7 linked regions of the Canis lupus familiaris genome follow. Each later gene encodes a partner of the first gene's protein in a complex. Links are inferred from orthologs where the notes say so. Each region holds a gene or a part of one and is shown in the gene's direction. Other genes may lie near its edges. The genes, in order: RAN, IPO13, XPO1, RANGAP1, SIRT2, XPO5 and NUP50.

Evidence for each region.
Region 2: the proteins of RAN (region 1) and IPO13 are in contact, whole or in part, in a crystal structure (PDB 3ZJY), measured with the Homo sapiens proteins. The link is inferred for Canis lupus familiaris from reciprocal best matches to the Homo sapiens genes RAN and IPO13. Residues at the interface, in NP_006316.1 of Homo sapiens: Lys37, Lys38, Tyr39, Leu43, Gly44, Val45, Val47, Pro49, Trp64, Gly74, Leu75, Arg76, Asp77, Gly78, Tyr79, Ile81, Gln82, Asn103, Arg106, Asp107, Arg110, Val111, Tyr147, Trp163, Arg166; in NP_055467.3 of Homo sapiens: Leu33, Tyr34, Tyr35, Ile39, Lys42, Gln46, Leu49, Met50, Gln53, Glu73, Tyr76, Phe77, Ser80, His83, Ile84, Ile118, Thr121, Arg122, Val125, Val172, Glu175, Glu176, Thr179, Ser414, Asp415, Arg784, Asp785, Pro787, Asp788, Pro829.
Region 3: the proteins of RAN (region 1) and XPO1 are in contact, whole or in part, in a crystal structure (PDB 7B51), measured with the Homo sapiens proteins. The link is inferred for Canis lupus familiaris from reciprocal best matches to the Homo sapiens genes RAN and XPO1. Residues at the interface, in NP_006316.1 of Homo sapiens: Lys12, Lys37, Lys38, Tyr39, Val40, Ala41, Leu43, Gly44, Val45, Val47, Trp64, Glu70, Lys71, Gly74, Leu75, Arg76, Asp77, Gly78, Tyr79, Ile81, Gln82, Val96, Pro102, Asn103, Arg106, Arg110, Val111, Glu113, Val124, Asp125; in NP_003391.1 of Homo sapiens: Leu35, Tyr36, His37, Gln43, Arg44, Gln47, Leu50, Thr51, Lys54, Glu55, Asn74, Tyr77, Tyr78, Gln81, Lys124, Val125, Lys129, Met132, Leu173, Glu176, Glu177, Phe181, Gln185, Lys266, Thr269, Glu270, Asp313, Gln316, Asn317, Gln320.
Region 4: the proteins of RAN (region 1) and RANGAP1 are in contact, whole or in part, in a cryo-EM structure (PDB 9B62), measured with the Homo sapiens proteins. The link is inferred for Canis lupus familiaris from reciprocal best matches to the Homo sapiens genes RAN and RANGAP1. Residues at the interface, in NP_006316.1 of Homo sapiens: Asp18, Gly20, Tyr39, Val40, Ala41, Thr42, Leu43, Gly44, Val45, Glu46, Glu70, Lys71, Leu75, Arg76, Tyr79, Asp91, Thr93, Ser94, Arg95, Val96, Thr97, Asn100, Lys123, Asp128, Arg129, Lys130, Lys132, Lys134; in NP_001265580.1 of Homo sapiens: Ser29, Gly58, Asn59, Thr60, Asp86, Thr89, Gly90, Arg91, Leu92, Arg93, Ile96, Asp121, Ala123, Phe124, Gly125, Asp127, Asn151, Cys152, Gly153, Met154, Gly155, Arg189, Asn190, Arg191, Gln217, Asn244, Asp245, Asn246, Thr247, Asp273.
Region 5: the proteins of RAN (region 1) and SIRT2 are in contact, whole or in part, in a crystal structure (PDB 5FYQ), measured with the Homo sapiens proteins. The link is inferred for Canis lupus familiaris from reciprocal best matches to the Homo sapiens genes RAN and SIRT2. Residues at the interface, in NP_006316.1 of Homo sapiens: Phe35, Glu36, Lys37, Lys38, Tyr39, Val40; in NP_036369.2 of Homo sapiens: Phe96, Arg97, Glu116, Phe119, Gln167, Ile169, His187, Ile232, Val233, Phe234, Phe235, Gly236, Glu237, Ser238, Leu239, Phe244, Gln265, Val266, Gln267, Pro268.
Region 6: RAN (region 1) and XPO5 share a complex: the UniProt entries of both Homo sapiens proteins name them as parts of the nuclear export receptor complex. The link is inferred for Canis lupus familiaris from reciprocal best matches to the Homo sapiens genes RAN and XPO5.
Region 7: the proteins of RAN (region 1) and NUP50 are in contact, whole or in part, in a crystal structure (PDB 7MO0), measured with the Homo sapiens proteins. The link is inferred for Canis lupus familiaris from reciprocal best matches to the Homo sapiens genes RAN and NUP50. Residues at the interface, in NP_006316.1 of Homo sapiens: Arg29, His30, Thr32, Gly33, Glu34, Phe35, Glu36, Phe52, Val124, Asp125, Ile126, Lys127, Ser153, Asn154, Tyr155, Phe157, Glu158, Phe176, Ala178, Pro180, Ala181, Leu182, Ala183, Pro184, Glu186, Val187, Asp190, Pro191, Ala194, Tyr197; in NP_009103.2 of Homo sapiens: Pro344, Pro345, Lys346, Val347, Val352, Lys362, Cys363, Lys364, Phe366, Tyr367, Lys368, Asn371, Glu372, Phe373, Lys374, Glu375, Lys376, Gly377, Ile378, Lys384, Lys390, Gln392, Leu394, Arg396, Thr399, Asn400, Leu401, Asn403, Ile404, Leu405.

The regions. Positions count from the first base shown.
Region 1 is NC_049247.1:1,620,960-1,624,776, reverse strand, and holds RAN (GTP-binding nuclear protein Ran), read left to right. Parts: upstream 1-1,345; 5' UTR 1,346-1,357; coding exon 1,358-1,393; intron 1,394-1,501; coding exon 1,502-1,586; intron 1,587-1,659; coding exon 1,660-1,785; intron 1,786-2,613; coding exon 2,614-2,801; intron 2,802-2,970; coding exon 2,971-3,141; intron 3,142-3,236; coding exon 3,237-3,281; 3' UTR 3,282-3,295; downstream 3,296-3,817. UniProt on the Homo sapiens protein: GTPase involved in nucleocytoplasmic transport, participating both to the import and the export from the nucleus of proteins and RNAs. Switches between a cytoplasmic GDP- and a nuclear GTP-bound state by nucleotide exchange and GTP hydrolysis.
Region 2 is NC_049236.1:16,398,976-16,402,560, reverse strand, and holds part of IPO13 (importin-13), read left to right. Parts: intron 1-2,471; coding exon 2,472-2,612; intron 2,613-2,718; coding exon 2,719-2,860; intron 2,861-2,968; coding exon 2,969-3,135; intron 3,136-3,343; coding exon 3,344-3,464; intron 3,465-3,549; coding exon 3,550-3,585. UniProt on the Homo sapiens protein: Functions in nuclear protein import as nuclear transport receptor. Serves as receptor for nuclear localization signals (NLS) in cargo substrates.
Region 3 is NC_049231.1:62,835,470-62,839,054, reverse strand, and holds part of XPO1 (exportin-1), read left to right. Parts: intron 1-252; coding exon 253-447; intron 448-1,476; coding exon 1,477-1,645; intron 1,646-2,302; coding exon 2,303-2,437; intron 2,438-2,518; coding exon 2,519-2,678; intron 2,679-2,755; coding exon 2,756-2,852; intron 2,853-3,585. UniProt on the Homo sapiens protein: Mediates the nuclear export of cellular proteins (cargos) bearing a leucine-rich nuclear export signal (NES) and of RNAs.
Region 4 is NC_049231.1:24,926,412-24,929,996, forward strand, and holds part of RANGAP1 (ran GTPase-activating protein 1), read left to right. Parts: intron 1-1,378; coding exon 1,379-1,513; intron 1,514-3,585. UniProt on the Homo sapiens protein: GTPase activator for RAN. Converts cytoplasmic GTP-bound RAN to GDP-bound RAN, which is essential for RAN-mediated nuclear import and export. Mediates dissociation of cargo from nuclear export complexes containing XPO1, RAN and RANBP2 after nuclear export.
Region 5 is NC_049222.1:115,017,226-115,020,810, forward strand, and holds part of SIRT2 (NAD-dependent protein deacetylase sirtuin-2), read left to right. Parts: exon of another isoform or gene 1-975; intron 976-1,630; coding exon 1,631-1,690; intron 1,691-1,970; coding exon 1,971-2,026; intron 2,027-2,143; coding exon 2,144-2,220; intron 2,221-2,311; coding exon 2,312-2,363; intron 2,364-3,129; coding exon 3,130-3,200; intron 3,201-3,321; coding exon 3,322-3,388; intron 3,389-3,502; coding exon 3,503-3,585. UniProt on the Homo sapiens protein: NAD-dependent protein deacetylase, which deacetylates internal lysines on histone and alpha-tubulin as well as many other proteins such as key transcription factors.
Region 6 is NC_049233.1:12,196,509-12,200,093, reverse strand, and holds part of XPO5 (exportin-5), read left to right. Parts: intron 1-1,642; coding exon 1,643-1,798; intron 1,799-3,394; coding exon 3,395-3,436; intron 3,437-3,585. UniProt on the Homo sapiens protein: Mediates the nuclear export of proteins bearing a double-stranded RNA binding domain (dsRBD) and double-stranded RNAs (cargos). XPO5 in the nucleus binds cooperatively to the RNA and to the GTPase Ran in its active GTP-bound form.
Region 7 is NC_049231.1:21,795,793-21,799,969, reverse strand, and holds the start of NUP50 (nuclear pore complex protein Nup50), read left to right. Parts: upstream 1-1,318; 5' UTR 1,319-1,441; intron 1,442-4,177. UniProt on the Homo sapiens protein: Component of the nuclear pore complex that has a direct role in nuclear protein import. Actively displaces NLSs from importin-alpha, and facilitates disassembly of the importin-alpha:beta-cargo complex and importin recycling.

The DNA.
Region 1 (3,817 bases):
GGACACCGGGTGTGGGCGGTGGGGGGGCCTGAAACACAAGGCAGGGGCCCGCGGGGTCCAGGTGAGAGGAGGGGGTGCGGCGGGGGCCCAGGGCAGGCTCTGCGGACCGGGGTCTGGGAGGAAGGGCCGGGGCCGGGCCGGGCCGGGGGCGCAGGAAGCGGCCGAGAGGGTGATGGAGGCCCGGGGGAGGCAGGTGGCAGATGGACGGGCGGCTCCGGGAGAGGGTGCGGGTCGGAGCGCCCGGGGTGCCGCGAGAGCCCACAGGGGCAGGGCCACAGGGGCAGGGCCCAAGGCCTCCGCACGCGCCCGCTTCCCCCGCGGCGCACCGTCCCGCGCGCCCACGGCGAGGCCCCACGCCCGGAGGCCCGGGGCTTTGTGTCGGCCGCTCCCCGCGACTTTCCCGCCCAAGAGGCCTGCGCTCTCCTCCCAGTGTCGTGGCGCGGCCGCAGCTGGGCGCGCCGCGTCGGCGTCGGCGCATGCGCGCGCTGGAACCCGCCCTTGGGCCGGCGCACGTGGCCCCGCGAGCCGGCGTGCGTCCGCGCGCCCGCGCCGAGCGCGACTGCCGCCCCGCCGCGACTCTCCCCTCCGCGCCCGGCCGACGGGTGTGGCCGGCCGAGCCCGCGGCGTGCGTGCGCGCGCACGCCGGGCCACGTGGGAGCGACGCGGCGCCGTTGCCCCGCCCCCCCCGGCGCGCGCCGGCGTCGGCTGCGTCTCCGGGCATTTGAATTGCGCTTCCGCCATCTTCCAGCCCTCAGTCAGACGGGCCGGAGACGCTTCTGGAAGGTAAGGCAGCGGGGCCGGGCCGGGGGCCGCGGGGGCCGCGGGGGCCAGGGGCCGGGGGGCCGGGGGGCCGGGGGGTCGGGGGCCGGGCGGGGGCCGGGCGAGGGCCGGGCGAGGGCCGGGGCCGGGGCCGGGCGGCAGTCGTGCGGGCCGGGGCGGCGGCGGCGGCGGCGGCGGGCTCTCGCCGTCCCCTGCCGTAGAGACCGAAGACCGTGGCCGGGACGCCAGTCGCGGTGGGCCCGGGCGGGCGGCGGCCCCGGGGCGGCGCGGGCCGGGGGGCGCGCGATCGGGGCCCCGGGCGGCCCCGGCCTCCGCCCCGCGCGCCGGCCTCCGCCCCGGCCTCCCGGCCTCCCTCCCCCACGGGCGCGCCGCCAGACCCGCCGCCGGAGCAGCGCCGCTCGCCCGCCCGCCCGCCGCCGGGAGCGCGCCGCGGCCCCCGCCCCGGCCCGGGCGTGCGCGCGTGGGGCCCGGCCGCCGGAGCCCCTTTGTGGGCCCGGGCACGTGGGGCGGGCCGGCCATGTGGGCCCGGGCCCCGCCGCCAGCCGTCCCACGTCTGTCTCCCCGCAGCACCAGCGCTATGGCTGCCCAGGGAGAGCCCCAAGTCCAGTTCAAGGTGGGTGGTGCGCGGGGGCGGCCGGGGGGAGCGGGGCGGCGCGGCCCGGGGGGCGCCGGGGCCTCCCCTCCCCCCCCCCGCCCCCCGCGACCGCGTCCTGTCTCGTAGCTGGTGCTGGTTGGCGACGGCGGCACCGGCAAGACCACGTTCGTGAAGCGTCACCTGACGGGTGAATTCGAGAAGAAGTATGTAGGTACGTGGGGGGAGCCGCGGGGGCCCCCGGGAGCGGGGCGCGAGCGGACCTGACGGCCGTGCTTGTGTTGCAGCCACTCTGGGCGTGGAGGTCCACCCCCTCGTGTTCCACACCAACAGGGGCCCCATCAAGTTCAACGTGTGGGACACCGCCGGCCAGGAGAAGTTCGGCGGGCTCCGGGACGGCTACTACATCCAAGGTGGGTGAGGGCGGGCCGGCGGCTGCCGCGTGCTGTGTCATGATGGGCGCAGCGCCGAGCCTGGAGCCTGGAGCCGGGACCCGGAGCGGGCTCCTCACCTAAGACAATGAGCATCCCACGAGGTGCTGCTGTGGCTGCCGGAGTCGTTGGGGCTGGTTGGGGGTTTTTTTGCTTGTTTTTTTCCCTCAAGGGCACTGTAGAGTGGCAGATAAAGACAGGAAGAAAATGTCATCTGGGATCTCTTGTGATGAAAGATGATTGGGAGTCCTTCCATATTTTGCATCCTTTGCTATGTTACAGATACACAGCTTTTTTTTTCTCTTCTTAAAAAGTGTTTAATTAGGAAACTCCTAGACTGTACATACTTCGGTTTGTTGTCTCAATTATATTAGAATTGTGTTCCTCATAGGTCAGTATGTAGGCCTGCGTGTTTTAAGGCAGAATAACATACTCTTTTGTGTAGTTTAGGATCATTTAAAGAGCAGGTTCTGAGATCCTCAGAATAGAGGAGACCAGTTGTCTTAGGGTGCTGCTCTATCGGTAGTCTACTTGAGATTCTGGGATGGGACGGAATTAATGAAGTATTACGGGAGAGATTTGATAAGCTAGGCTGGTAGTTCACACTCACACAGAAAATGAAACTTTAAATCTTGTTACGTATTACAGTGGTTGGAGATCCTTAAACTTGGAAGAGAGAGACATTGGGGTGTAGTGAGTGCAGAAGCAGAGGTAGCCAGATTGGGCCTGTCCCCTAGCCCGTGCTCCTTAGCATTCCTCATTTGTGCAAGAAGTCATACATGTGTAACAGTTTTCCTACATCTGTTTCAGCCCAGTGTGCCATTATAATGTTTGACGTAACGTCAAGGGTTACTTACAAGAATGTGCCTAACTGGCATAGAGATCTGGTACGAGTGTGTGAGAACATCCCCATTGTGCTCTGTGGCAATAAAGTGGATATTAAGGACAGAAAAGTTAAGGCAAAATCTATCGTCTTCCACCGAAAGAAGAACCTTCAGGTATGTTTTTTAAAACTTAATTGTTTTTCTCTAAGATGAAACTACGGTAATAGATCCACTAAAGGAAATTGTGTCTGTGGTATGGATGGAAAAACTATTTTTAGTTTTAAACATTTCAATGATCCTCAAGAAGTAGATTTTTAAAAACTTATTTTATTTTATGGAACAGTACTATGACATTTCTGCCAAAAGTAACTACAATTTTGAGAAGCCGTTCCTGTGGCTTGCTAGAAAACTAATTGGAGACCCTAACCTGGAGTTTGTCGCCATGCCTGCTCTTGCCCCCCCAGAGGTGGTCATGGATCCAGCTCTGGCAGCACAGTACGAGCACGATCTAGAGGTAGGTGGCAGATGGGTCCGTCAGTGGGATCTCTTGGGTGTCCCGTGTCCTGACGGCTCTAACCCATGGTGTCCTGACGTTGTGTCTCTGTCCAGGTTGCTCAGACGACCGCGCTCCCGGATGAGGATGATGACCTGTGAGAAGTGCAGCTGGAGGCCAGCGTCAGAAGTCTAGTTTTATAGGCAACTGTCCTGTGATGTCAGTGGTGCAGCGTGTTTGCCACTTTTATTATATAGCTGAGCAGAACATGTGCTTAATCTTTGGGATGCTGAAGGAGATGAATGGGCTTCGGAGTGAATGTGGCAGTTTAAACAGTACCTTCATTTTTTTGGACCTGCATACTTAGCTGTTTTGGAACGCAGTTGTTTCCTTCCTGAGTTTCAGATAATGAGACTGCTACAGTCCCATCACAATATCCAGTGGTGAAATCTCGTTTGTCACTGTCATTCCCATTCCTTTTCGTTTAGAATCAGAATAAAGTTGTATTTCAAATATCTAAGCCAATGAACTCCTCCCTTGTTTGGTAAGCATCTTAAAACCACTAACAGGAAAAGTTGTGCCACGTTACTGTTGAACTGGCCTTTGCTATTCTCCCTTAATTTGAATCTTTGCAGGTTAAGTTCTTGTCTATTTGTACATTTGGATCCTCTCACACAGGTGACAGGGCAGACATCCG
Region 2 (3,585 bases), on another chromosome or scaffold:
AGATTTGCATAGATCCTTTGGGGAAATTCAGGTTGGGCCCTGAAAGAGCAGTCCTGCAGCAGAAGCAGCTACCTCAGCCTGGAATTTGTCTCTAAGTTGCTATATCACCTTGAGTAATACTCTGAGCCCTTCTGGACCATATTGTCTGTAATTTAGCCTATTATGCAACTCAAACATGACAAATCAAGAACCCAGTGAAGATTGGGTACCTGCTGTGTACATCAACTTTGGGAGGTGTGAAGGAGCCATGGTAGGGATGCGTTGGGGATAGAGCACTACTTCCTGCCCCCATCTCAGCTGCTGGGGAGCTCGCAGGCCATGGCTTTGGCCCTGCCCCTGCTCTTTGTGCTGGAGTCTGGCCTGAAGGTGCCCATTGTCTGGTGGTGCGGCCTGTGTCAGGGTCATGAGACTGAAGCTATCCCAGCTGTCTCCAGGCAGCACCCTCTAGGGCTGTCTCTGGGTTGAGGGTATCCTGGTGTGGACACCTTGTCCCACCAGAATAGAGATTTGAAGAAAGCCATTATCCCTGGCTGGTTGCCTCTTGTTTTCATCCTACCCTTGAGGTTATGAGGCTATCTGCCTAGCACTCTGCTTAGGGCAAATGCAGATAGAACTCCTCTGGCCCATCAGTCCCCCTGCCTCTCCATAGATTGCTCTGGTGACATTGTGATTGGTAGCGGAGGGGTCTCAAGCATCTGATTCCGCCACCCTCTAAGGGCATCACTTCCTCTGACTAGTCTGATCTCCACAGAGCTGGCCGCTGGGGAGGGGTACAGAGAGATGGAGGTAGTATTCTCTCCGTCTCCTTTGTATACTGCACTTCCCCTGCTCCCCCTTTAAGATCATTATGCTTCAGGACTCTGACTTGGACCCTCTTTTTTTCTCATTCAGTGCTTGCTTCCTGGGCAATGCTCATCTACTCCCATAGCTTCAATTACCAGCTGTTTGCCCATGACTGTGTCTCTTGCTCTGACTTCTCCCTTGGGCTTCAGGTTTTCATATCCAACTCTCTGGACACTTCTATTTGCAGATCTCACCAGGTACCTCTGATTCAACATGCCTGACACTGAACTTAGCACCTTCTGGGCTCCCATTACATTTATTACTCTCACCTTCCACCCATTCCTCTTGACCTCAGTAAATAGCTCCATCATCTACTTAGTTGTTCAGCCAGTAACCTGAGAGGTGTCCTTAATTCTTTCCCATTGTTATATCCAGTTAGTCAGCAAGTCCTGTCCATTTTGCCCCTTAGCTGTCTCCAGGTTCATCATCTATTGCTCTCCCTTCGTACTGCCACCAGAGTATATAGGAATTAGGATTTGGTGGTAGGGAATGGAGTGGACTGTGGGGATTGCTGTCAGTGCCTCCTGATGTCTTTATTAGGGCTCCTAAGTCTGTATTAACTTCTCTGTCTCCCATCCTTGTGCAATCTCCCTTAACAGCATCTATGTTAGTCTCCTAGAGGAGCTATAATAAAGTACTGCACACTGGGTAGCTTTAAACAACAGAAATTTATTGTCTCACGGTTGCAAAGGCTAGAAGTCCAAAGTCAAGGTGTTGGCTTCCTCTAAAAACCTGTAGGAGAACCAAACCTTCCTCATTCCCTTCTAACTTCTGCTGTTTGCTGGCAGTCTTGTTCCTTGGCTTGCAGTTGTATGACTCCAATCTTTGCCTTTGTGATCACGTGTCATTCTCCCTGTAAGAGTCTGTGTTCATGGTTGTTTTCATACAAGAATACCTGTTATAGGGGGATCCCTGGGTGGCTGAGTGGTTTAGCGCCGCCTTCAGCCCAAAGCATGATCCTGATCCTGGAGTCCCAGGATCGAGTCCCACATCAGGCTCCCTGCATGGAGCCTGCTTCTCCCTCTGCCTGTGTCTCTGCCTCTCTCTCTCTCTGTCTCTCATGAATAAATAAATAAAATCTTTAAAAAAGATAAAAAGAATACCTGTTATATTGTATTAGAGTCCCCCCCCCCCGCCCCGCACCCCACCATGACCTCATCTGCAATGACCCTGTTTCCAAATAAGATTGCATTCTGAGGTATTGGAGGTTAGGACTTCAACATATCTTTTTGGGGGATACAGTTCAGCCCATAACCGTCTGCCCTCTGCCCCCCCCACCGCCAAATTTATGTTCCTCCCACATGTAAGATATGTATATCTCATTCCAACTTCCCCAGAAATCTTAAGCCATGCTAACATCAACTATAAGTCTAATTAGAGGACATAATTCAACCCATTCAACACTCACCTTCTCATACTTCCTTCCTGGAGTTCTCCTGGAGGTCCCTGACTTAAGGGTTTTCCTGATATGGGCAGCATCAAAGCTGCCCTATAGGCCCTGACCTCTTTTTTGCTTTGGGTTTAATGTGGGGTGAGTGCTTTGCTGGCAGACAGAGAACGTGCCTCTCTCTCAAAGCTGGTGGGGGATAGGCAGAGGGCTCTGATGAGTCCTTACCTCATGCCTCCAGGTATGTGAATACACTCCTGAAACTCATCCCGCTGGTGCTGGGACTGCAAGATCAACTGCGACAGGCAGTGCAGAATGGGGACATGGAGACCTCCCATGGCATCTGTCGCATTGCTGTGGCCCTGGGCGAGAACCACTCCCGGTAAGGAGTGGGGCAGCTGAGGGTGGGATAGTGCCCTCTAAGAGGTAGAGTTATGGAGTCCTACTGGGGGAGGTGGAATGACCTTACTATACCTCCTCCTTCCAAGGGCCTTGCTGGACCAAGTGGAGCACTGGCAGAGCTTCCTAGCCCTTGTCAACATGATTATGTTCTGTACTGGCATCCCTGGCCACTATCCTGTCAACGAGACCACCAGTTCCCTGACCCTCACCTTCTGGTACACGCTGCAGGTGTGTCTGTGTGAGCTCTAGTAGGACTAAGCTGTAATGATAGGAGGTGGGTCATAGGCTTCTGGGCCTAGTGCCTCGGTGGCTAACTTCCTTCCCTGGCTCTCTCAGGATGACATTCTGTCTTTCGAGGCAGAGAAGCAGGCTGTGTACCAGCAGGTGTACCGGCCAGTCTACTTCCAGCTGGTGGATGTACTTCTGCACAAGGCTCAGTTCCCTTCTGATGAGGAATACGGATTCTGGTCCTCAGACGAGAAGGAGCAGTTCCGAATTTACAGGTGATGGTAGCAGGCCAGCCCTACCTCTAAATAGAATCCTGAAATAATGAAGTCAATAAGAGGAGGAGCCCAAGGCCAGGCTTCCTGAATCCTGGGGCTCCTTTCCCTACTCTCTAGGCACTTTTACAGGGTTGTGAGGGAACTGGGTGGGCTCCTGGGCTTGGGGGCAGGATCCGGGCATTATATAAGGTCTTCATCTACTTCTTAGGGTGGACATCTCAGATACGCTCATGTATGTGTATGAGATGCTGGGGGCCGAGCTGCTCAGCAACCTCTATGAAAAGCTAGGCCGTTTGCTCACCAGCTCAGAGGAGCCCTACTCCTGGCAGGTATTTCCCAAGCCTGATTCCCTTAGCCCTCCCCCAAACTGTCATGCCCTTCCTCAGCCAAGCCAGTGGCACCCTCTTTCCTCAGCACACAGAGGCCCTGCTCTATGGCTTCCAATCCATC
Region 3 (3,585 bases), on another chromosome or scaffold:
AAGCAAGTGCATAGGATAAAACTTGGGGGATCTCTGGGTGGCGCAGCGGTTTGGCGCCTGCCTTTGGCCCAGGGCGCGATCCTGGAGACCCGGGATCGAGTCCCACATCGGGCTCCTGGTGCATGGAGCCTGCTTCTCCCTCTGCCTGTGTCTCTGCCTCTCTTTCTCTCTGTGTGACTATCATAAATAAATAAAAATTTAAAAAAAAAATAAATAAAAAACTTGGGTAAAGTTTTTTTTTTTTTTTAACAGGTAGCTGAAAATTTTGTTCCTCCTTTATTGGATGCAGTTCTCATTGATTATCAGAGAAATGTACCAGCTGCTAGAGAACCAGAAGTGCTTAGTACTATGGCTATTATTGTCAACAAGTTAGGAGGACATATAACAGCTGAAATACCTCAAATATTTGATGCTGTTTTTGAATGCACATTGAATATGATAAATAAGGTATGTGGTTTACATTTCAGTATGGGAAATTCTGCATTATGTATCCTTGTAAGACTTGAAAGCATAAATGATAGCTATGGGATTAACTAGTTTAAATATTTGAACATTTAGACCAGAGAAGTACTTTTAAAAATATTAACTATTGGGCAGCCCTGGAGGCCCAGTGGTTTAGCGCCACCTTCGGCCTGGGGTATGATCTGGAGACCCAGGATCGAGTCCCACGTCAGGCTCCCTGTGTGGAGACTGCTTCTCCCTCTGCCCCCCTTTCTCTCTCTTTTTCTCTCTCTGTCATGAATAAATAAATACAATCTTTAAAAAAATGTATTTACTATTAAAAAGATCTTTGGCCATTTGGATGGCTCAGTTGATTGAGCTTCTGCTCTTGGTCTCCGCTTGATCTTGATCTTGAATTCAGAATGGTGAGGTAACACACCAAGTCTAGTCTCCACACTCAGCAAGGAGTCTGTTGAAGATTCTCTCCCTTTGGTCCTCCCCCCAATTCACATGTACTCCCTCAAATCTTAAAACAATCTTAACTGCAAAATAGTAAATTTACATAAAAACTATATTCAGTAATGTATATGTGTATATATATACACACACACAAGAAATGGGGAAATGTATTAAGTAAGATAGGAAAATGTAGATCTAAGTCCACAAATTTACACAGTAGCTAAAAATTCTCGGATCTATATTTGTGATCTTGAAGTCAGAATCATAACATGGTAGTAATTTTCTTAAGAGTAACTTGAAAATATGTTCTTTATGGGTTTTGACTCCTTATAATGGGACCTTGTAGTCCTTATTTTTAGTAATTCATTTGTGTAATCAGTGGTAATTACATCTTCCATGAGAGGCAAATTGTGTTGATTTCAGGTTTGCTGATCAGGAAACCAATATCTTACATACACTGGATGGGGCCCATTAACAATTCCAAAGCTTTATACTAAATTAGGATTTACTTTTTCTTTTTTATTAAACATAATTAAGGCATTGAAACTTTATTTTGTTCTCATCTTTTGTTTATAGGACTTTGAAGAATATCCTGAACACAGAACAAACTTTTTCTTACTACTTCAGGCTGTCAATTCTCATTGTTTCCCAGCATTCCTGGCAATACCACCTGCACAATTTAAACTTGTTTTGGATTCCATTATTTGGGCTTTCAAACATACTATGAGGAATGTTGCAGATACAGGTAAATACACGTCCTTTTATTTAAATACCCTTTTTATTCATTCATCTTACAATCCACAGGCTCTTAAACTTAGATCTGAAGGAATTAGGTAGCACTGTTATGTGGGTTTTGTGTGAGTACATCTGTGGCATATGTAGGTCTAAGTAAATACTAAAAGCAGTTGAATCCTCTCTTCTATGGTTGAGTCCACAGGTGTAGGGTTGATTTACAGGGAGATGGGTGAAAATTCAAAGTAGAGCGACATTACTTTTCCGCATCCATACCAATGTTTCCTTTTCCCCATATGCTTTTCCTCTGTCCCGCTAAGGGTCAAAATAAGGAGAAAACCACATTTTCGAGAGAAATTTTTATTTTTTAATAGAAACTGGTTTATGTAATATACTTGTATTTTCGTAATGCTGTTTTTAGAGTTGATTTGGAGAGAATCTAAACTTTCAGATATAGTGGAAAGTTGGTAATGGTTATTACTGTAATCTATAAGCAGACATTGATGCTAGATGAACTCCCATTATTCAAGGTAATTTAGGCAAATAATTGTTAGTCACTAGTGGAAAGAGGGTTAAGAATGGCTTTTGAATCAGAAGAGTTGAATAGTGGAAATTCTGTGTGAATGTTAACCGGCTGTAATAACTTCATTAGTGTTTTTGTACATTTTAGGCTTACAGATACTTTTTACACTCTTACAAAATGTTGCACAAGAAGAAGCTGCAGCTCAGAGTTTCTATCAAACTTATTTTTGTGATATTCTTCAGCATATCTTTTCTGTTGTGACAGACACCTCACATACTGCTGGTAAGAATTTATAGCCATGAAAATCTTAAGTGTTCAAGTTGTTATTAACTGTGGAGTTAATGATGTTCTTCTTATCAACAGGTTTGACAATGCATGCGTCAATACTGGCATATATGTTTAATTTGGTTGAAGAAGGAAAAATAAGTACACCATTAAATCCTGGAAATCCAGTTAACAACCAAATGTTCATTCAGGAATATGTGGCAAATCTCCTTAAATCTGCATTCCCTCATCTACAAGAGTAAATACACTTTTTAATACACCTATATTTTTCAGTTAAAAAACAGTGATATTTAATCGTTGTGTTTTGTTTTGCAGTGCTCAAGTAAAGCTCTTTGTGACAGGGCTTTTCAGCTTAAATCAGGATATTCCTGCTTTCAAGGAACATCTTAGGGATTTCCTAGTACAAATAAAGGTACGTGCTTTGTACTTGGTATGTTTTAGTTGTTGGATTGTACAATGTACCGCTTTTTGTTAAAGCAAAATGAATGGGATTTTTGAGTGGTATTTAAGCTTACTAGTCCTAGACTGATACACAGTGAAAAACTAAGTCATCGCTGAGAACATGATGCGTTACAAATGTTTTTGGAAACTTGTTATTAATAGAATTCATTTTGGATGATCAAAATGTCTTGGAATAATGGTCATGTCATCCTATAGATGATTTTTAAATTGTGCATTATGGGGAAAGAAACACTGATTGCCCCTTTGGGGATTTCATACCCATTTTGTTAGTAATCCATTTTAGGGAATTAAGACAAATTAGCAGATAATCCACTTCTTTCTACTGCTGTTACACAATGCTTCATTTAAATTTATGGGAAGAAAAAAAAATAAATTTATGGGAAGAAGAAATTGTCTTGTATTACTTTCTTTTAAACAAATTTAAAAGTAATGTAACATCTGTAAGTTGATGGATTATCTTACTGGTGAAGGTTAAATAAGGATTGGTCGTACATGATAATGTTACTCAGATTTTTTTTCCCTCTAAGATAAATAGGTTTTTTAAAAATTGTAAATATATTAGCTATGTCATAAGTAGAGAATGCCAAAGAGAGCGAAAATTACTTGAAATTCCTATATAGGTCAGCTTGGGGTGGCTCAGCGGTGTAGCGCCGCCTTCGGCCCAGGGCCTGATCCTGGAGACC
Region 4 (3,585 bases), on another chromosome or scaffold:
AGTAAGCCGTGCGTGTGTGAAGACGTTAAAATGTTGGCATCTGCACAGAAAATGGGTCCAGCCCAACCTAGAGCTGAGGGAGTTGGAGATGCGCCTTTGAAAGACCCCGGCTTTCCATCGGCTCCCCCCTGCTGCGCAGCAGGCCTGGGCTACTGAGGCTCCTAGAGCTGCCAGTGGCTGGGCAGCAGGCCTCGCCTTTACTCTGGCGTGGGCCATAGCTCAGGCACAAAGGCTGTGGACCCTGCAGCCAGGGGGTCCCCCCGGCAGCCCAGCTCCACTCTGGAATGTCACGTGTGCTCGTTTTTACCTCCCTCACCTCTGATTCAGTTTTGTTGCATCTTGTGGGTGCCGGCCTTGCTGACCTGCACCTCCTGGGAGCTGCAAGTGCCATAGGCTCCAGTTCCTTCAGAATCTGTTCCTCCGGCCAGAGTGCATTCAGTGTGGCCCATGTGCCACACGCAAGGGAATTGGAGGGGCCCAAAGGATTCGCTGGAAGTGTGATGTAGCCCTGTGCTTGGAGCTCTCCAGGCCCTGAGTCCCCAGGCTGGCTCACTGTGGTGGGCCCAGAGGCACCTGAGGAGAATGGAATGTGCTGGTTTTTTAGGAGGCTGGTTTATGGCGGACGTCCATGATCTGTGCACTGAGCATGCAAACCACCCACTGGGAGTCAGGCTGTGGTGGCCCTTCTAGCCCCCAGGGACAAAGAGCTGTGTAGTCAGGCTGACTGGCTGCCAGTTGCAGCCATGGTCTCTCTGATTCCCGGCAACCAGCCAGCATTTTTTAACTCTTGCTGTGTCGATATCATCACCCAGGCAGAAGCTGCGTCCTCGCTTCTGTCCTTGCACCACACCAACAATATGGTGTGTGTCAAAGGAGTGTGACCATGGTCTTGGTCAGCTCCCCCTCAGGCATTGGGCAACGTGGAAGAAATGCCAGAAGATCTGGGTTCTGGTCTAGATTTTTCCATATGTTTAGCAGCTGTAGGAATGTCCTTGTTCCTCTCTGAGCCTGAGGTTCTTCAGCTGGAGAGGAGGAATCACAATGGTCCCCACCTGACAGACGGCTTCTGGCAGTGCAGTGAGCCGACTGTGAAGCCCCTTCCCTAGTACCTGCCCTTCCATGGACCTCCCATTCGGTGTCTCCCCTCCCTCCAGGTGTCTCTCCCCATCGCTAACATGAGGCTAAACCCCACAGGGTAGTGGGACACACACCCCCTCACGCTAGTGGTGTACGTGAAAGCCCCTAGTAAGCTGCAAGGTGCTGGGCACATGTGCAGTGTGAGCATGTTGCTTGTGAGCAGTTCTCTGTCCCCACGTCCACCACCAGTAGGTGGCATAGGATGTCCGAGAGGCTGGGCCTCTTCCCTCTTCCCCCACAGATCTTGGCAGCGGCTCTGACTGAGTGTCACCGGAAATCCAGTGCCCAAGGCAAGCCACTGGGCCTGAAGGTCTTCGTGGCCGGCAGAAACCGTCTGGAGAACGACGGAGCCACCGCTTTGGCAGAAGCTTTCGGGGTGAGTGGTTTCTGCACGCCCTGCCCCGCCGTGCCCTGAGGCGGGCTAAGCTTTCGCAGGTTGACAGCCTGGTGTGCCTGCAGCTCTGGAGTGGAGCTGCGAGACCTAGGGCGAGTTACATCCCCTCTCTGCACCTGTGGCTCGTTCTGCAGTGGGGCAGGATTCCTGTCATGTGTCTGAAAAGTTGCGTGATCCACTGCTGCAAGTGAACTGATGGCAGCTCCCTGGAATACTGTTTGAGAAGATTTTGAGGTTGCTCTGGTCAGTGATTGAGGACTGCCAGACTCGGAAACGGGGACGGGGGAGCCAGGGCAGTGAGTGGGATGACAGGCTGGCACAGTGCCTGGGCTCACAGAGGGTGCGTATCTCTGGCCTCTAGTGGGCGGGGCACAGAGATGGAGTCATCAGACTTACCTTTGAGACGGGGAGGTAGGGGAGCTGTGGCCCAGGTGCCCTGCCCTCTGGGACCCTGCTGAGACCCTGACTGCGAGCTCCATGAGAGGCCCACACCTGTCCCACAGGGCTGGGAACTTTGGAGTCTTTTTTTTCTCTCAATTTGTTTTCTTTGGCAAACCGTATTCTAGCAGCATTAACCACACTGAGGCCAGAGAAGCATGCCCCGCCATCTAGCTGCTGGAGCTCGTCTCCCTCAGGCAGAGAGTGAACACAGCAAGGGAGAGGTGCCTCCAGAGTTACAGGAGCCTAGCTGCCATCCTTGTAAACGTCGTGACGTTACGTTATGCCTTCTCTGAAGGTTACACTCTCCTTCAGCTTTCTGTCCTTTGTTCCTCATGCATCAGTGGACTTGCCTCCAGGAGGACTTGTTATTCGGTGCCTTTTTTTTTTTTTTTTTAAGATTTTATTCATTCATTCATGAGGGGCACACAGAGAGAGGCAGAGACACAGGCAGAGGGAGAAGCAGGCTCCCTGCAGGGAGCCTGACGCAGGACTCGATCTTAGGACCCCGGGATCATGTCCTGAGCCGAAGGCAGAAGCTCAACCTCTGAGCCACTCAGGCGTCCCTGCTCAGTGCCTTTATAATAAGGAGTGCATTTATTACTGCAGCACACATTTGGGGTCTTTTCCAAATATTTTGAGGATTCTCTTTCAATTGAATTGATCGCCTTCATAATAGGTCCATATGGTTTATCTTAAAATTTTAAAATATGCTAAGGAGGGAGCCAGGGGCTGTACCCGACTACCCAGAGGGTCTATGGCACAGAAGATATTGAGAAGCCCTGATTGGTAATGTTCCTCACTTGGTCTGCCTATATTTACCTGTGAACCCCCTGTGCTGTTCTGGGCACTTTGGAACTACAGAACTCCACTACTAGGTGGAGAGTCCTCACAGGCCTGACCTCGGTCCTTGGTAGCAGCAGAGACTGGGACATGAGTCTCTTCTTGAGAGCTCAGAGGCTGGTGGAGTGTAGACAGGAGGGCGATGTTGGTAGTCCAGGATGATGAACAAATACCATGAGAGAGGAAGGACATGCTCTGGGAGCACAGAGGAAGAGTGCTGGACTGTACATGGGCAGGGGGGTGGGGATCCTGGAAGCCTTCCTGGGGAGGTGTCCAAAATGAGAGGTATATAGGAAGACTACATAGGAGTCGATCTATCAAGGAAATACCAACAAATAAAGACCCTGAGTGTTTTAACCAGAAAAAAAGAGGTGTCAGAAGGTTGGGATGAAAAAGGGCTAGGTGGTTGGAGAAGATCCCACCCCCCGGAAAAGGAGGAAATGTGGAGCACTGGTCATACTATGTAAATAGAGCAGGAGAGCCCGGAGAAAGACCAGTGCAGTGGAGCTGCAGTATGCGAGGAAGGACTGTGGCAGACCAGGCCAGCACCCAGGGTCCTTGCAGTGTGGACACCAGACGCAGGAACCTGTGTTCTGAGCTGTGTGAGCCTTCATAAGTTACTTAGCCTTTCTGATCCCTAGTCTTCTCTGTCTGGTGGGGTTCCCCATCCCAGGTAGGTGTCCCTCATGAGGTTGTGGAGATGATCAGATACAGCCATACCCAAAGTTCTGCTTTGTGATCTGTGCCAATAGCCAGGGATGAGCTTGTGCCTG
Region 5 (3,585 bases), on another chromosome or scaffold:
CCCAGCACCACCTCACAGCCGGGTTATTAGGGGAGCAAGGTCCAGACCCAATTCAGCCGTACACAGAGATGTGTGTTGGCAGAGAGGTCGCCGGACCGCCATGCAGTCTGTTCTGTGGGGTCTGAGGCCCCGGCCCTTTGTCCTTTGAGGGGCTCTGATCTTACCTTACAAGAGGGGCCCACGGAGGGAGACACAACTGCACTCTAATCCGTACCTGCTCAGTATGGCAGCCGCTGCCACATGTGGCTCTGGAGCGCTCACAGATGTCACTACCGTGACCAGTGGACTGAATGTTTCATTTTCCGTCATTTTTATTAATTAAAAAGTTAAAAGCCACATGTAGCTACGTGCACCATACTGGACAGGACGGGGCTGGAGGCCCCGGATCCGATGGCCCGTTAGTCAGATGCAGGCAAGCATGTTCCGTGGAGCGTGGAGCTGGACGCAGGCCTGGTTAGGGACAAAGGCGGGGGGCGGGGGGGGGGGACTGTCCCGAGGGGTCCAGACAACAGGGCTTGTCAAAGTCAGCGTCCCCGTCCATGGAAGGGCAGAGTGTCCAGAAAAGGGGGGAACTATTCCTCCGGCCCACATTTCTCGAATGCCATTGAGAGCCTTTGTCTGACATCCATTGTGCTGCCGAGAAGCCACACATTTCACCCATGGAAAGCCATTTCTGACATTCTTTATGCTGGTTTCACAAAGCCTCTGGTGTTCATGTGAGACAGAGACAGCTGCAGCATTTGTGGTGGGGCCTCTGGAGCGGGGCCTTTCTGCCAAAACGCCAGCTGACCGCCGCTGGGGTGAGGCTTCCAGAATAGCTCAAGTGCGCGCAGCTGGGGGTAATGGACGAGGAACACGACCCCATTGTGTGTCACTTACAGCAAGAGTGTGCGCATCCCCCACAAAATATCATGCTGTCCATGCTGAAATAGTCTAAAGTGAATTGCAGACATTAAAACGGGGCTCTTTAAATACCTGTTGAAGGAATGAATGAATGAATGAATGAATGAATGAACAGTTGAACAAATGAGCTAGGATTCTGTGGGGTGCAAGTGAGCATGTTTCAAGCTTCCTTCCTTAATAAGCAATCAGGAGCATGATTGTCATAAGGATGGTGGTGTGGGGGGGGGGGTGTCTGTCCCAGAACCCAAGGATGGTGGGCAGCTGGGCCCTAGGATGTGTCCCCATCCCAGGATCGTCTGCAATTTCTTCCCTCTCTGTCACCAGGCCTGGGGCTCACCAGGCCTCTCACCCAGGATAAAATAGAACTGCCCCCAAAGACCCCTGGGGGAGCTTTATTGCCCACGTTGGGGGGTGGGGGGTGGGATCCAGTTACCCCTGTAAAGGGCAAGCATCTGCTCATTCATCTGTCCTTGTGTTTATTCATTAACTCAATAGACGTGACCTGGTGCTCGGAGCCCCCCATGCCCTCCACCCCGGAACCCTGGGCGATGGGTGGGGGGAGGTAAGGGGCAGCTCTCTAAGGAGGGAGGGCCTTCGTGAGCAGGGCACACCCCCAGGAGGCCCCCCAGCGACCGAGGTGTGTGCGTGGACCGTGAGGGCTGGCTGCAGCCCCAGACCCTAGCCCAGAGTCGCTTACCTCCTCTCCCTTCCTCTTCCCCACGCCCAGAGAAGATCTTCTCCGAGGTGACTCCCAAGTGTGAGAAATGTCACAGCGTGGTGAAGCCTGGTGAGCCTCGGGGCCAGGGAGCAGCCTGGATGGACTTGGGCTGGGACCCCCGGCCCTCCACGAGCCCCTGACCGGTGCCCCGAATCTTTCCCCGGGAGAATGGGTCCTGTAGCCCCTCACCTGCGCCCGCTACTCTGTAGCTCCCACCTCAGCCCCTCGGGTCAGCCTTCTGCTGCCGCCTGTTCTCTCTCTCATTCTCTCTCTCTCTCTCTGACCCTGTCTCTGCCTCCCGATTCACCTTCTCTTTCTGTCTCTGTGTCTGTCCATCTGTCTGCTTCAGACATCGTGTTCTTCGGCGAGAACCTCCCAGCAAGGTTCTTCTCCTGCATGCAGTCAGTAAGTGCCTCCCCAGGTAGGGGAGGGGTAGCAAGCTGCAGGGCAGGGGTGTGGGGGGAGGCAGCCTGGCCCCTGCTGAGCCTCTGGGACCCTCACTGACCACCCCCCCCTCCCCAGGACTTCCTGAAGGTGGACCTCCTCATCATCATGGGTACCTCCCTGCAAGTGCAGCCCTTTGCTTCCCTCATCAGCAAGTAGGTTGGGGTTGGGATTGGGGGGTGCTGCTGGGACCGGGGGTGGGGGTGGCCAGGACAGACCCTTACCACTGAGCTCCCCATCCCCCAGGGCGCCCCTCTCTACCCCGCGCCTGCTCATCAACAAGGAGAAGACTGGGCAGGTGAGTTGGCTTTTATGTGAGCCCCCCTCTGTCTTCTCTTCCTCTTCCTCCTCCTCCTCCTCTCGGGGGTCCCACATTCCCTTTCACTGGCTTCCTCAGAAACTGAGACCCCTCAGCTCAGAACTAGGTGCTCTAGAACCCGGAGGGGTCAGATTCCAGGCCACCTAGACTCTGATTCTACAGGCCCCGGGGTCCCTCCGGCCCCTTCTGAGCAAGTGAAGTAACTCAAAGCAGCTTAAGCCAGAACAGGACTGCTGGGCTTTGGGTAAGTGAGGAGTCAGGGTGAGCAGGCCCCAGGGCCCACAGCACAGCGTGAGGAGACGCCCACTCCCGCTTTCGGCTCTTTTCCTGAGGTGGCCTCCCTCCCTCATCCCTCATCCCTGGGGAGGGGTGGTTCCTCGAACAGCCAAACACTCCATGTGCCAGACACTGTTCTAAGCATTGTCTGGTTTAATTTGTTTTATTTTATTTTGTATTTTTTAATTTTAAGTAGGCCCTATGCCTACTATGGGGCTCAAACTCACGACCCTGAGATGAAGAGTCACATGCTCTGCTGACTGAGCCTGCCAGGCGCCCCGTAAGCGCTTTCTAAGTATTAACCCGCTGACACGACAATGCCAGGAGTGGCTGGTAATGGCCCCCACTCTACAGATAAGGAAACTGAGGTTTGGAGAGGCCAGGTCACTGAGTGAAGTCACAGAGCAGGGAACAGCCCCAGGCCACCTGGCTCCAGGCTCTGTGCTCTGAGCTCCCCTCTCCCCCACAGACTGACCCTTTCCTGGGGATGATGATGGGCCTTGGAGGAGGCATGGACTTCGACTCCAAGAAGGCCTACAGGTGAGTCCTGGGCCTGCGAGGGTCACAGCCGAGGTGGGAGGGAGGGCATGAAGGCACGCGGACTGGGAAAAGTGGGCAGGGGCCTGGGACAAGCTGAGAGCTCTGACTCTCCCACCCACAGGGACGTGGCCTGGCTGGGTGACTGTGACCAGGGCTGCCTGGCCCTTGCCGACCTCCTCGGATGGAAGGTAAGGAGTCTACCCCGGCCCACCCGGAGCCTGTCCCCAAACCCCTGCCCCACAGGTCCTGTGATCCCATGATGCACAGTGACCTCTAACTTCTATGAACTTTGCCCCCTGCAGAAAGAACTGGAGGACCTTGTCCGGAAGGAGCATGCCCACATAGACGCCCAGGCAGGGTCAGGGGCCCCCAACCCCAGCACTTC
Region 6 (3,585 bases), on another chromosome or scaffold:
ACTTCATTCCTAAGTGTTCTGAAGAAACTCTGTATCTGCATTGAGGCACCAACGTTCTATAGAATGCTTGTGTGTTGAGCCAAGGAAAAAACTTAATATCCCTCAATAGATTATACAGAATAGATTATAGCAGTGAAAAGGAACTCGGATATGCTATGGATAAGGATGATTCTTTTTTTTTTTTTAAGATTTTTATTTATTTACTTATTCATGAGAGACTCAGAAAGAGAGGCAGAGAGAGAAGCAGGTTCCATGCAAGGATCCCGATGTGGGACTTGATCTCAGGAATCCGGAACTCACCCTGAACCAAAGGCAGATGCCCAATCGCTAAGCCACTCAGCTGTCCCAAGGATGATTCTCACAAACACTATGTTGACCCCAAAACATACAATTTTCTGTGTAATTATGAATATATACATTTGTGACAGAAGTACACAGAAAGGATGGAATCCTTGACATTGTGAACACCAAATTCAGGATAGTGGCCACCTCTAGGGCTGAAGAGGAAGATATGTACACAGAGCAGCCACTCTATGAGTAACATTGTACATCTCCAGGTCGTCACATGGAGAGTTATTAAAGTATTGCTTATACTTTTCTAAAGGTCTGGAATATTTCACAATAAGATTTTGTTCTTTATACACAAATTAATAAAAGCACAAGAACCTAATGAAGAAAGAGTTAAAAGATATCAGATTTATATAGAGAGGGGAAACTAAAGTCATTAATAAATATGAAAAAATTCAGTCCTCATTAGCAACTGAAGAAATACAAATTTTTTAAAAACTATTTATTTATTCATGAGAGGCAAAGACACAGGCAGAAGGAGAAGCAGGCTTCCTGTAGGGAGCCCAGTGCGAGACTTGATCCAGGACCCTGGGATCATGACCTGAGCTGAAGGCAGATGCTCAACCACTGAGCCACCCAGGCATCCCAAAATGCAAATTTTAAATAAACTCTTTTTATTTACTGCAAAAGCTTTAGAGAATAAACTCAAACTGCTGCTGAGAACATGGTAAGAAGGGCATATTGGTGAACAGAGAATCAACTGATAAAACCTGTAAAGAAGAAAAACAATTTGACTTAGAAATTTTCATACCTCTTGATTCAGTAATTATAGCCATCCCCAAAAGTCTGTCCCCCAAATGAAATAATCGAAAATGTAGCCAAAAATTTTTCCCACAAAGATGTATTAGCACTAATGAACAGCAATGTTCTCACTTTCTAGTATTAGGAAAAGCCACATTCTTTTTTTTTTTTAATATTCTTAATCTTTTTTTTTTCTTTTTTAATTTTTATTTATTTATGATAGTCACACAGAGAGAGAGAGAGGCAGAGACACAGGCAGAGGGAGAAGCAGGTTCCATGCACCGGGAGCCCGACGTGGGATTCGATCCCGGGTCTCCAGGATCGCGCTCTGGGCCAAAGGCAGGCGCTAAACCGCTGCGCCACCCAGGGTTCCCGAAAAGCCACATTCTTAAGATGGCATGTGGTCGCGTCATTTAGGAAAAGTTTTAATAACATGGGGTAATGCTTGGAATTTCCAGGTTGAAAAGCAGTATATAAAACCAAAGCCTAAAGGAAATTTTACCAGAAGTGCTTATCAGCCATGTCAACATCCTTTTCATTGTCTGTAATGCAGGCTGTTCCTGTTAATGATGGAATAGAGCTGTTGCAAATGGTCCTGAACTTTGACACCAAGGATCCTCTCATCCTGTCCTGTGTCCTCACTAATGTCTCAGCACTCTTTCCATTTGTCACCTACAGACCAGAGTTCCTGCCCCAGGTCTTCTCTAAGGTAAATTCCATCTCCTTTTTAAACTTTGGTTGGATATTTTTGAACTAATTTTTTGAGACTGTTTTCGAGAGTCTTTGAGACAAGCCAATAAAACCGTCATTTAGTCATTCATCAGGTATTCAATACTTACTGCAAATCAGGCACCATGCTGGTAGAAAAGCCTCACTTCCCCTCAGGCACTCTCTTTGGAAATAAAATCACATAAACAGTTGTTGTACCCATGTGGCATTATAATTAATAGACAAGTGTACTGAGAAGTGGAGGAGAATACCTAAAGAAAGGGTCTCAGTATGCTGTCAGTTTATTAGAAAGGGATTTGTGAGAGGGATGGTTGGTGTGGATGGTTTGTGGGTTTCCAGTTTATGTGAGTAGTAGAACAGTACCTGAGTAAGAATAATGGAATCCATAGAATGAGGAGGAGGGATGAGTTCAGTCTGGGAATACTACATTTGAAGTATATGTACAACATCCAGGAGAAGACACTATAGTAAATTGGCTATTTGAAGTTAAAGGTCTAGAGTCTCAAAAATACAGTATTAAGGTGGCATTATTGTAGAGGGGCTTAGAGCAGAGGTGAAACCCTAGGAAGGAGGGTGATATGAATGTAGAGTTGGACATGTGGCTCAAGCAGGGAAACTTTGTGAGTTACCATCACTGGGGGAGGAGGGTGAAGAATGAGAATTCTCCAAAGAAGAATAACGGTAAAGGCAGATAGGGACGCCTGGGTAGCTCAGCGGTTGAGCATCTGCCTTTGGCTCAGGGTGTGATCCTGGAGTCTTGGGGTCAAGTCCCACATCGGGCTCCCTGCATGGAGCCTGTTTCTGCTTCTGTCTCTCTCTCTGTGTTTCTCATGAATAAATCTTAAAAAAAAAAAAAAAAAAAAGGTAAGGGCAGATAAATGACAAAATGTCATGTTACAAACATCAGCAGAACTTCATAAAGATAGGCTTATTTATTACAACAGAAATTCTTTAAGAACAAGGCAATATCTATTGGGTTTCTTTTTCTTTTTCTTTTTTTTTAAGATTTTATTCACGAGAGCAAGAGAGAGAGAAAGCAGAGGGGAGGGGCAGAGAGAGGAGAAGCAGACTCCCTGATGAGCAGGGAGCCCCACACAGAGCTCAATCCCAGGACCATGAGATCATGACCTGAGCCGAAGGCAGACACTTAACCGACTGAGCCACCCAGACACCACTTCGTTGGGTTTCTTGATTAGACCTTTGTTAAAGTATAACTCCTTCCTGGTGATTTAGGGCAGTAGTCAACGCTGTATTAGGTTAAAGAGTCGATGAGAAGTTACACAGTAGAATCAGAGAGAGTATCACTATAGCTTGAGTGTTTGGCTGATAGCTTGGATTGTTTGGGGATTCTCTAATCTCCATCTTTATAAAATGTTTGATGGTAAAGTTGTGAATTCAAGCCTCTTGCAGAGTTATCTGAGAAAATGAGCATCTGAAACTTTGTAACACCAGTTGAAAACCGTTTTGTTAGTATATTGTTTATACTTTTGAGATTTTGTTGGAAACTTTATGCTACTATTCAAAAATACTTTATGCATTTGATACTGATGAGTAACCTTTTCTTTCTTACCTTTAGCTATTTTCATCTGTCACTTTTGAAACTGTTGAAGAAAGTAAGGTAAGACCATTTAATTCAACCAACAATTCCTAACTTCTGGAAAGCGAAAGTATGAATGCTGAACACCTAAGTCTAGATTATTGTTTTTTTTATAAGGAGAAGGGGTTAGTAAAGGCAGGAGATGGTCATACAATATGGTGTTTTATTCA
Region 7 (4,177 bases), on another chromosome or scaffold:
TTTCTTTTTCCTTTCTAGCCTCAGGAAGAGAAAAAAAAACCAAACAAACGAAAAAAATCCAAACATCTGGCCACATCTACCTTCTGGATTCTTGTCTTGGTGTGAAGTCACCATCACAGCAGGCAATAAATCTGGCTTTATTTTTAAACGTCCAGCGCGAGCGCCACCTGCTTTTAACCCTTAATGTGTGCAATCCAGCAGGATAGGGGTCGTGGACACACCGATCCAAGGGTGGGCGTTTCCGGGCAGGGCTCCTGAACACAGGAGATGGTTGTGGGCAAGCTGGTTTTCCACCTGCAAGGATGCACAGACCTTGAGAAGTTCCGACCCTAAATATCCGCCCCCGCACCCCCTCCGAGGCAGGCGTCCTAACTAGCTCGCGATGGCCCGGGCAGGTGCACGCCCCGCGTCACCCCGCGTGCCCCGCACGTGCGGGGATGCGCCCCAGTGTTCCCGCGAGAGCACGAGGCCCAGGGCGTTAGTTCCGCGGGGGCGGCGCGCGGGCGGACCTGCGGGTGGGTGCTGCCCTGGGGCGCGACCCCCGCCCACGGGGCGCCCACGGCGGCCGCAAGCGCACGCGGGCGGGCCGGGGGTCCGTGTCTCCCGCTCCGCGGCCGGGGCCGGTCCTCCGGCGTCGGCGGGCAGGCGAGCCGCGGGGAAACACGGTGGCGGCGCCGAGCGCCCCGAGGTCACTCACGTTTCCCGGCCGCCGCCTGTCTCTCTGCTCAGCGCCGCGCCGCGAACGCCCCGAGCCCCGGCCGCGCTCCCGTGCCGCCCCGAGCGCGTCGCACACCCGCCGGGCCCGGCCGTAGCGAGACGCGGCGCGCCGCCGACACGTGACCACCGCGCGTAGCCTCCCGCCGCGGGCGCCGGCTCCCCCGGCGGGGGCGGGGCGGGGGAATGCACGCATGCGCGCGCATGCGCGAGACGGGCGCGCTCCTCCCGGCGACGGTTTTTTTCCAGGCCGCAGAGCGCCTGCGCCGCGTGTCGCTCCACGGCCGGCGGAGGGAGGTCCCGCGGGCCGCGGCCGGCGCGCCTGCGCAGTGGCTGGACGCGGGCGTTTCTTTCCTCCCTTTTTATAGCGTCGGGTCGGGCGGGGTAGAGCGGACTTGTAAGATGGCGGCCCGGAGCCCGCCGGCCGCGGCTCCTCCGGCGGCCTCTGGCTGAGCGGACTGCCCTCCCCCCGCCGCCGGGCACAGAGAGGCGCGGCCCCTGGAGGACATGGTGCTTGCGGCCCGGGGCTTGCTGACCACCAAGCTCTCGGAGAACCCCGGCGCGGCCAGGCGCGCTCACCCCGGCCGGCGGCCGCCTCATCCCCGAGGCCCGCGCCGGCGCCCGCACCTGCTCGTGTCCCGCAGCGGCGCCCGCACCTGCTCGTCGTCCCGCAGCCGGCTTGCACCGCGCCCGCACCCGGAGAGGGCCCCCGGCGGGCGCCCGGCAGGTGAGAGGCGGCGGCGGCGTGAGCGGGGGGCGGGGGGCGGGGGCGGCGAGCCCGCGGAGGAGGCCGGGTTCCGGCTCGGGATGGGGCCTGGGGAGGAGGGACCTGGGGAGGCCGGGGGTACCTGGGGGGAGGGACCTGGGGTGGGGGGACTTGGGGAGGAGGGACCCGGGGAGGAGGGACCTGGGGGGGGACCTAGGGAGGAGGGACCCGGGGAGGAGGGACCTAGAGTGGGGGGGAGGGGGGACCTAGGGAGGAGGGACCCGGGGAGGAGGGACTTAGGGTCGGGCGGAGGGGGGACTTGGGGAGGAGGGACCTGGGGTGGGGTGGGGGACCTGGGGGGGAGGGACCTGGGGTCGGGGGGAGGGGGGACTTGGGGAGGAGGGACCTGGGGTGGGGTGGGGGACCTGGGGGGGAGGGACCTGGGGTCGGGGGGAGGGGGGACTTGGGGAGGAGGGACCCGGGGAGGAGGGACCTAGGGTGGGGGGGGGGACCTAGGGAGGAGGGACCTGGGGAGGAGGGACCTAGGGTGGGGGGGTGGGGGGAGATGGGACCCGGGGAGGAGGGACCTGGGGTCGGGGCGGGGGGGGGGGGGGTACCTGGGGAGGAGGGACCTGGGGTGGGGGGGAGGGACCCGGGATGGGGCCTGGGGAAGGAGGGATCTGGGACGGGGAGCTGGGGTCTGGGTGGGGGGAGTGAGACCTGGGGAGGAGGGACCCGGGGTCGGGGCCGGGGCCGGGGCCGGGTTGGGGTCGGCCCGGTGCGGTGACCGTGCGGTGACCGTGGTGCGGAGCTGGCCTGGGCCCCGGCCGCCGGGTCGGGTCCCCCCTGGGGCTTCCCCTCGGCGGTCTCCGGGCAGGGACCCGCTGCCTACGCCGGGGCCTTGCTTCCCTCCGCAGTCCCGGGCTGCCGGTCACCCCTGTCCTCTGCCCCGTTAAGCAGTTTTGAGACTTCGCCTTCCGCAGCCTTCCAGTCTCCGGGCTCCGCGCCTCCCCCCCCCCCCCCCCCCCACCTTTTCTCTTTTTCTCTCTCCGTCAAGTATGGTCATACCTGTTCTCGTCTCAGGGTAAACTGATGTCTGAAGTTCAACCCCGAGGTGGAGGCAGCACCTGGTGGCAGAGACCACGGAACACTATCAGGCACAAATAATAGTTTTCTCCAATTACGAGTACTCTCAATTTCTTATCAGTACTTCATACCTAGGAATCATTTTAAAATTTGGTGCCTCTTTAACCACAAGCCCTAATTTTTTTTTCAAATCCTTTTTTTTTTTTTTTTTTTTTTTTTTTACAATTTTGTTTTTAAGTAATCTGGACACCCACGGCGGAGCTGGACCTCACAACCTCGAGGTGGAGAGCTGCATGCTCCACCAGTCAGCTAGCCAGGCACCCCTAAATGCTTAACTGTAGCCAAAACTGAAGACTCTTTGGTGCTGGGCTTTGTTCTGAGTACTTCCCAGAGATTTTTTTCTCCTCCTCTTTTTTCATAAAAAATATTATCTGGAGCATCCTACTTTGAAATAGAATACAGATTTGCTAAAATATATTTTATTTTATTTTATTTTTTTTAAGGTTTATTTATTTATTCATTCAGAGAGAGCAAAGAGAGAGGCAGAGACACAGAGGGAGAAGCAGGCTCCCCGCAGGAAGCCTGCTGTGGGACTTGATCCCTGGTCTCCAGGATCACACCCTGGGCTGCAGGCAGCGCTAAACTGCTGAGCCACCGGGGCTGCCCACTAAAATATATTTTAAAGCCTGGCTCATAATTCTCTTTTTCTACCCTGTGCTTCATACATTATTGGGGAAAAGTAGTATTTTGTAGCCTTTGCTTCTAACAAAACTTGTGTCTGTAATAATGTTTATTAAGCCCTTCCTCTGTTCCAGGCAGTGTTCTGAACTAAGTTTTCAATTTATCTTCCTTAATTTTCCCAACGCCTTCGTCTTCTACAGATGAAGAAAGTGAGTCATAGCAGTTTTAAATGACTTGCCAGAGGTTTAGCAAGAAAATGGCAAAACCGAGATGCCAGCATCTTGTAGTATTCTCTAAAATAAGTAGGGCCCCAGATCAACCAGCCACTTGCTGGAGCACCTGCTGTGAGCTGAGCCGCAGATTTGGGGCAATGGGAGTAGACCCGGAAGCAAAAGGGAGATCCCTGCCCTGCGGTTAGGTGGCCAGTAGTCTGGGGGAGCAGCTGTTTGGTTTTGGTGGTTGTACTCCCCTGGTTATCTTTCATTTGTGGGCCTGACTAGATGTGACAGTTTCATTACAGTTTGCACTTTCAGCTCCACCCCCTTTTTGCCTTAACTCTTAGCAAAAAGGACTCCTTCAACTTCTCGTCTCTTCTGCCCCCTGGTGGAGGTGTTAGTTACTGACTAGGGAAAGAGTCCGCGCAGAGACCAGGCCTCTCAACAGTGGAAGTTCAGTAAGGAAATGGGTCTGAAAGGGTTTTGCTTGCTTGTATCTGAATGACCAAGATTAATGGCAAAATCTGACCAGGTATTTGAGGGGGAGACCTTAAAAAGAGGGATTTGCAGATAATGGCTGAGTATCCTTCCTACTTTGTGTTAGCATCGTGGACTTGAAAGCCATTTATTTTATAATCAGGGAAAAAACCATGTACATCCTTGAATAGAAAAGTTCAGACATTATTAGGATATTATTAAAAGCTGAAATGCCCAATGTAGTTACGCTTACAGGAGGTCAGATATTGAAGGACTTTGGAATGTCAATGTCTGAATT